2 linked regions of the Mus musculus genome follow. The protein of the gene in region 1 binds, or shares a complex with, the protein of each later gene. Links are inferred from orthologs where the notes say so. Each region holds a gene or a part of one and is shown on either strand. Other genes may lie near its edges.

Region 1 (3,647 bases):
TTTCCATCATCCCCCCAGGGAGACACTGTGGCTAGGACACACAGGTAGAGCGCCTGCTACAGGGATTTCAGGAGAGGCTCCAGCTGTGTCCATCATACACGAGTATGGAAGGCTGTGGCCAGCTGCAAGCAGCTCCTGAATCTTTCCTTGCACCCTCTTTCTCAGGCCCCCAGGATGGGGTCTGGGTTCAGGTGTCAGCAAGCTCCCAGGGAAGTTCAGTGCTGTTGATAAGAGACACCTCCTATGTCTTCAAGACAAAGAACTCAATGGAATATTATTCTCTAGCTCATTCTGGAGTCACACAAGAGTCCCCTGCGATTATTTGTCAGCACAATCCGGTCAACATGATCTGCCAACAAGGAGCCAACAGCCACATCTCCATTGCCAATTCAAACGCCATCCAGATTGGTCACGGGAATGTCATAGTAAGAGAGAAAGCCTGTGGTGAGCCAGGTAAGAGGAGGGTCCTGGCTGAGGGGGACTGAGAGGGGACCTGGTCCTCCAAGGAGAGAGCAACTGCCTCACCTCCTCAGGCATGCCTTAGGCACGGCCTTTCTCAGAGTGAGACCCAAGGACCACACCTCACCTGCACTCTCACTAATTTTGCTCCTTCTCAATGAGATCAAAACCTTTTGTATGAGAATAATTCGGCTCCCTCTCTCTCTCAGCAGGACACAGTGAGATGGTTACTGCAGTTCTCTGCTCTGAACACATTCCCGTCTCTCAAATTGTGTCATGAAAAGTTGGGGTCATCTTACACTCAGTGGCTTCTTATCTATATATCTATCTACTTACCTACATATATCTATCTATCTATCTACCTACCTACCTACCTATCTACTTGCCTAAATGTGTGTGTTTGTGTGACTTTGTGTATGAGTGTGTTTGTGTGTGCATGTATGTGTATGTTTGTGTGTGTGAGTTTGTGTCTTTGCATGTGCATGTATGTGTATGTTTGTGTGACTGTGTGAGTGTGTTTACTGGAGCCTACTCAGAAGCAGAAGATGTTGTCAGGTGTCCTGTTCTGTCACATCTCATCCATACAGCGTCTCTCACTGAACCTGGAGCAAGACTTGCAGACAGGAAGTTCCAGTGAACCTGTCTCAGTGTCCCTCAGCACTTGTGGTACAGTTGCACGCAGCCAGGCCTGGCTTTTACATGGGTGCTGGGATCCAACCCCAGGTCCTATGTTTGCAGGGCAATGCTCTTACCATTCCCAGCCAACCCCCAGCCTCAGCATCCTGGTTTTGATGCAAGTCGGTGCTGTTCAGGGAGTGTTTCCTCTGTAATTCGCATATGGCTTAGAGGGTGTGGGGCCACCTTACAATCTGTCCCTGTCAGCCACGCACAAGAGCATCATCAATTCCAAACGCAAAGTCTCTCCATGCCCTCAGAAGAAATCTGTTCTACTGTAGGCCCATTGCCCCATCATGACTCCCCTGGTTTTTATGGCCCTCCTTCCTGTCTGGCTATTTTACTTAGGAGTGTTAAAGGGCTCAACATTTTCAGATTCAAATGTGTTTGAAAGTTTCTGCGTTCCTTTAATTTGAAAATCATAAGAGAAAGACTAAAAACTGAGCACCCGAGAAATAAACACGGCCAGGACCCTTCTCAGGAGGGTTGGTGGACATATTCTCCCTTGGGGGCCTTTCCTTTGATGGGGTCAAAGGTTAAGGAGACCCAGCAGGCAGGTGTCCCAAAAGTACCTTGGGCCCCACTGAGAATGCAAATTGCCCAACTCCAGCTGCTTCAGGTGCTGAGCCTGTGAACAGATCGATCTGGAGTCTCTAGCAAATCTTTAATCTCCTTCCCTCCCAGGTCCCAGGACCTCTCACCCTCTACCCTTGGCATGGGACGCCTCTGCTCAGGACATGCCCCCTGTTGCCCACGGAGCTCAGTACATCTACATGGACAAGTCCTTGCTCCAACAAGTGCAGCTTGGCCACCACAACGAGATGAGCCTCGTGGGGGATGCAGGGAAGCACCCCTCTTATAGCTTTTCTGACAGCCCCCCAGGTATGGTGGCCTCTGTCACCCCACAATATTTAGAAAGAACCCAGAAGCCTGAGTTTTTGCCAGGAGAGAACCATGTGGCAAAACTCATTTCTGCCTTGAGAGGTATCGCTGAGGAGCGCCGAGGTTTTAGATCTGGCACTCGGGGTCCTCAGGCTCCCAGCACCCACGTGCAGTCAGTCAGCACCTACAAATAGGAAGGAGGCTGAGTGGGAGGAAGCCGGGTCATAGGGGTGGCGGAGGCCTGGATGGTGACCTAAGGAAATAAAGGAAGCCAGTAGCGAATTGTTATAACAGTGTCCCGATGACACAGTGACTTGAGAACCCTGCCAGAGGCCTGCCAGCAACTGTAGATTCTTAGATGATTGGAGGTTTCAGGGGGACTAACAGAGCCAGGGAGAAGTGTTTTCAGAGAGGAATTGGTCAGCGAGTCAGAGTGTAGCAGCGGGACAGGCAACCAGGGCTCTGCGGTCACCTTCCATGACAGTTTCTTAGAGTGGAGGGAACCTACATGTAGGGGGTTGGGAAAGCCGTGTATGGACATTTCCTGACTTTTGAGGGTGAAAGTGAAGTGGTGACAGCAGGGTTCAGGGGACACTGAGGTGAGGCTGGGGCTGGGAAAGAAAAGGTATGGACCATAGTAGGACTGCATGAAAAGGTATGGACCATAGTAGGGCTACATGAAAAGGTATGGACCATAGTAGGACTGCATGAAAAGGTATGGACCATAGTAGGACTACATGAAAAGATATGGACCATAGTAGGACTGCATGAAAAGGTATGAACCATAGTAGGACTACATGAAAAGATATGGACCATAGTAGGACTGCATGAAAAGGTATGGACCATAGTAGGACTACATGAAAAGATATGGACCATAGTAGGACTGCATGAAAAGGTATAAACCATAGTAGGACAGCATAAAAAGGTATGGACCATAGTAGGACAGCATGAAAAGGTATGGACCATAGTAGGACAGCATGTTCTTCATCTGCCAGCTGGGAACTGGCCACAGAGTAGATGGAAGGCTCCAGAGGTCCAGAAGAAGATGTTGAGATCAGAGTGGTTTTGCTAAGCTTGGGGCAGGGTGTGGGGATGGTGCTGGTTTCCAGTCCAGTGGGGACATGTTCCGGGACACGAGGTAGGGTGTCCAGGCAAAGTCTATGCGCCAGATCTGCAAGGTTACTGGTGAGAATGAGTCGTGAGGATGGGACCCCCAGGTTGGGTGCACATGCCAGGGCCCTCTGCAAACTGCCCGCTTCTCCTGGCTTCTCTCTTTGCTTTACTAGAAGTGTCAACCACCACTGCTGACCCAGGAGCTTCATTCAACATGCAAACATCTGAGCCAGGCCCTCACCCTGAGGGAGACACAGTCCAGACAGTCCACATCAAATCCTGCTTTCTAGAGGACGCCACCATTGGTAACGGCAACAAGATGACCATCCACCTTAGGTCAAAGGGTGAAGTCATGGAGTCTGGAGACAGTGAAGAGCCGAAGAAGGAAGACACAGGTGAGCCTGGGCATGGGTGTCTGTGTGTGCCCCAACCTCATTCATTCACCCTGGCTTCAAGCATCAAGGCAGTGGCCTGGTGTAAGGACACAAGGGTCTGGAACTCAGTGAGTTGACCAAAAG
Region 2 (4,411 bases), on another chromosome or scaffold:
AGGTTGGGTAATGGAAGCTGTGTGAGGGCAGCCTGTCAATCAAGAGATCTGATTATGCAGAGCCCACCCTTTTTTGTGTGTTGATGTTGAAATCAAAGAAAACCAACCACCAGTAAGTGAGTGGGTGGTGTGCATTGGGCTGGGCTTGTCCCTTAGGCTATGAACTCCCTGGTAAAGCAGGAAATAACTTTTGTGGAGTTCCCTATATCTAAAATACCTCTGGTTGAGACCTCACAGCTGGAGGAGAAACTCTGCTGAGGCTTGTAAAAAGGAAACTGAAAACTAGCATTTGCTTGGGCAGAGCCTTAATATATAATTATTTTGCCCCAGCATCAGGGTTTAGGACTCAGCTATAGGGCCAGGACTAGCCAAGCTTCAAAGTGAAAGAAGATAGTTGAGAGTACTTTCTGCTTTCTGTCTCCCAAGACCTGATTTTCATGATTTTCATGTCCTACTACTCATAGTGAAAATCTTTGTGAGGCGGATGGTTTGAACTCTCAGGACATACACCAGTCCCTGAGTTGAGAACTAAGGCTGCTTTGGAGAGAAGAAAATCCCCTGAGGTAAGTAAGATATGTCAGAAGTTTTCTAGAGAAAGCTTTAGGACCATTTTGCTAATCAGTAAATTAAGAGGAAAGAGAGTCCTGGGTTTCTGAGGTTAGAAAGAGGGATTAGTATTGACTGTATTCTAGAAAAGAATAAGGCTGCAGGAAGCCTGGTTCTAAACCTTCAGTTGACTGAGGAACAGAAGTTATCTTTTATTGCACCACAACTGAGACCTTTACAAAAGAAAGTGCATTTGGCCGTGGCAGGAATTAGAATATATTGTTCAGAGGGTTGACCCAGACTGAGCCTAAAAGGAACTCTGATTTTCTGGGTGTGTTGGTCTGTAGGTGTTTTATTGACATGAATTTATATTTAGAAGAGGGCTTTTGATTTCTAGCTGAAGGGGGAAGAAACATAGGGGCCAGGGAGCTATTTCTCGATAAAAGGTGAGAATAATGGCATGACAGAAAGCCTGTGATGTAACGTTAGCTTGAAAGCATCAGAGCTCAAAATTCTAAGTAACCTTAATCTAAGAAGAAAATATCTAATAAAAAAAATGTGGGGAAAAAAAAACCCAGCATGGTAGTAACACAAAAGAACAATTAAAAAAAAATCAGACACGGAATCAAATAGAAAAAAAAAAAAAAAAAAAAGAAAGAAATGCCAAGCAGATAATGTTACTCCATAATCCCAAATGTTCAAGTGACATGGCATCTTTTAAAAATTATATGTGCTTTTAATCTCTATTTCCTTTACTTTATTAGGTAATAGCAAGTTTATTTCAGTCTAGTTCCAATTGGATCCTGCTTTCCCATTTCCATAGTTAAATCCCTGGAATTTGGGGGAAGGATCATTCCTATGGTATCTGTTGAGGTTTGAATATATGCCGGCTGGTGGCTCCGGAAGGTCTTGGGACTTTCACAAGGAGGAACTTACTGGAGAAACCTTATTGGAGGAAGTGGGTCACTGAGGGCGGCCTGTGAGAGGTGATAGGCGGTCTCACTTGTAACTCTGTTTCTTTGTCTGAGCAAGAATCACAACCTGCCTGCTTCCTGTCCTGCCTGCTTCCTGTCCTGTCTGCCGCCATGCTTCCTTAACTAGCTGCTAGGTTTTTTCCTTGTCGTGATGAAATCCACCCTCATGGACCTGTAAGTAAAATTAAAACCTACTTCTCCCCTATGTTGCTAATGTTCATGACATTTTATCAAAACAGAAAAGAAACTAATACAGCAAAATGCTGGGTCCTGTTTACATATCCAATTCTGTCTTTTGCGGGGAACTGAAAAGAGATATTAAGGAAAAGTGATTGCTAAGAGATATTTAAGGAAAAGTGATTGCTACTTCCTGTTATTTTTGTTGTTAGAGGTGGAATTATATCTGTGTGGCTATATTCTTTTAGTTTTTTTGAAAGATTACTTTCTTGCTTTTTTCTAGGGTGTAGTTTCCCTCTTGTGTTGGTGTTTTCCATCTATTATACTTTGTAGGGCCGGATTTATGAGAAAATATTGTGTAAATTTGGTTATGTCATGGAATATTTTGGTTTCTTCATCTATGGTAATTGAGATTTTTGCTGGGTATAGTAGCCTGGGCTGCCATGTGTATTCTCTTAGGGTCTATATGAAATCTACCCAGGATCTTCTGGCTTTCATAGTCTCTGTGGAGAAGTCTGGTGTAATTCTGATAGGTCTGACTTTATGTTACTTGACCTTTTTCCCTTACCACTTTTAATATTCTTTTTTTGTTTGGTGCATTTGGTGTTTTGATTATTATGACAGGAGGAATTTCTTTTCCGGTCCAGTTTGGAGTTCTGTAGACTTCTTGTATGTTCATGAGCATCTTTTTGTTTAGGTTAGGGGAGTTTTCTTCTATATTTTTGTTGAAAATCTTTACTGGCCCTTTAAGTTGGGAATCTTCGCTCTCTTCTATACCTATTATCCTTAGGTTTGATCTTCTCATTGTGTCCTGGATTTTCTGGATGTTTTGGGTTAAGAGCTTTTTGCATTTTCTTTGACTGTTTTGTCAATATTTTCTATGGTATCTTCTGCATCTGAGATTCTGTCTTCTATCTCTTGTATTCTGTTGGTGATGCTTGCATCTATGACTCTTGATCTCTTTTGTAGGTTTTCTAACTCCAGGGTTGTCTCCCTTTGTGATTTCTTTATTGTCTCTATTTCCATTTTTAGATCTTGGATGATTTTGTTCATTTCCTTTACCTGTTTGATTGTTTTTTCCTGTAATTCTTTAAGAGATTTTTGTGTTGCCTCTTTAAGTGCTTATAGCTGTTTACTGTGTTCTCCTGTATTAAATATTCATTAATGATATTTTTAGGGTATGAAAGGATATCAATATAAAAGTTGAACACATTTTTACAGACTATTTGATTCTCAAAATGCTCAATATTATTAATATGTTTGATGTATAAAATACATTTAAATATTAAAAATTGAAGAAAAAAAAGAAACTAATACAGTAACTACTCTTTGGAACTCAGTGATAACCTTTGTGCCCTTACCGAAAGTGTGGTAAGTATTTCTAAGTATCAGAACATAGTTGTTAATTATGTTGTTCAACTTTTCTACTTTTTTGCTTTTTGTTTTATTTTATTCTTGGCTATTTAAAGCGTTAGTTACTGAAGGAAATGTTTTGTAATTTCTGACCATCATGGTACATTTGCCATTTGTTAGTGGAGAACTGTCAAATTTTGTTTACAACTGTTGACTTTATTCAATGAGGTGCTTACTGTTTAGAATTGTTGGTTATATTACCTTGATGACTTTAACATTTAATTGTTGTATAGCAACTCTGTCCTTAATGGCACTATTTGTCTTATAGTCTTCTCTGACTAATATTGATAGAGCTGCTCTAACTAGAGTTTTTGTGCTTAGTGCCTGATACATATGTTCACGTATTTTTTGCTTTGCAGCTACTCAGCACTTCAATTTCCCCCACTGTGTCTTTTTTAAACACCACAGGCACCACAGTGGGTTTTATTCCAGTTTAGCATTCTTTTTAAACCCATGAGTCTAATTCATGTGCGTTCTGTCAGTTGAAATGTTTGAATCTTGTGTAACCATCTTATATCGCTTCATATGATATTTCCATGTTTGTTTTCTTCTTTTTAAAAATACACTTAAGATTATTCTTTACACAGAATGATGCATATTATGTTAGTCATGTTTTTAAAAGTCCCATTTATACATCTTGTGGGGAAACGCCATTTATCATTATCCCAGAATAATGCTTTCTGATGTACTTTTTGGTGAAACTGAATAACATCACATTTACTGCTTCAATAAGGTAAACTAGCATACAGCCAGTCACTGCAAAGTGAATAATCCATTGTGATTTAGTACATAGATAAGGCTGTATACCTTCCCTTAGATCTAGCTCCAAGATATAAGAATTACTCTTTCTATTTATCTCTGTAATTGTTTAAATGTTACCTCCTCAAATAGACATAGTCTGACGACCAACTTGAGTTACACTACACAGCCCCAGCCTGTACACTACACAGCTATACATACTTGTATTTGTTGTGGGGATAGTGAAGAAATCTTGCCTGATTCATGACTCATTTCCTCTAAGACTTACAAGATGCCTTACTGGACAAAACGAACTGATTGGTGAACAACAGCAGTTGATTTACTAGTTTATCCCTCAAGTGCATATCTTTTCCATTTTTATTTTCAAAAGGAGTTTTGGAAGTTTTTACACCATAGGGATAGCTGTTTAGTCACAGACAAGTGTATAGGGAGTGTAGAGCAAAGCACAGGATTTTTGGGATACTCCCATGAAGCAACTGCATAATCTGTGGTGGGGGCAGCCCATCCTGTGGCAATCATTCTCAGGAGAAGGCATGTTGGTA

What was found.
Region 2: Zbp1 (region 1) and Aim2 share a complex: the UniProt entries of both Homo sapiens proteins name them as parts of the AIM2 PANoptosome complex. The link is inferred for Mus musculus from reciprocal best matches to the Homo sapiens genes ZBP1 and AIM2.

Annotation. Positions count from the first base shown.
Region 1 is NC_000068.7:173,208,905-173,212,551, reverse strand, and holds part of Zbp1 (Z-DNA-binding protein 1), read left to right. Parts: intron 1-285; coding exon 286-453; intron 454-1,818; coding exon 1,819-2,016; intron 2,017-3,302; coding exon 3,303-3,524; intron 3,525-3,647.
Region 2 is NC_000067.6:173,418,993-173,423,403, forward strand, and holds the start of Aim2 (interferon-inducible protein AIM2), read left to right. Parts: upstream 1-1,611; 5' UTR 1,612-1,694; intron 1,695-4,411. UniProt on the Homo sapiens protein: Sensor component of the AIM2 inflammasome, which mediates inflammasome activation in response to the presence of double-stranded DNA (dsDNA) in the cytosol, leading to subsequent pyroptosis.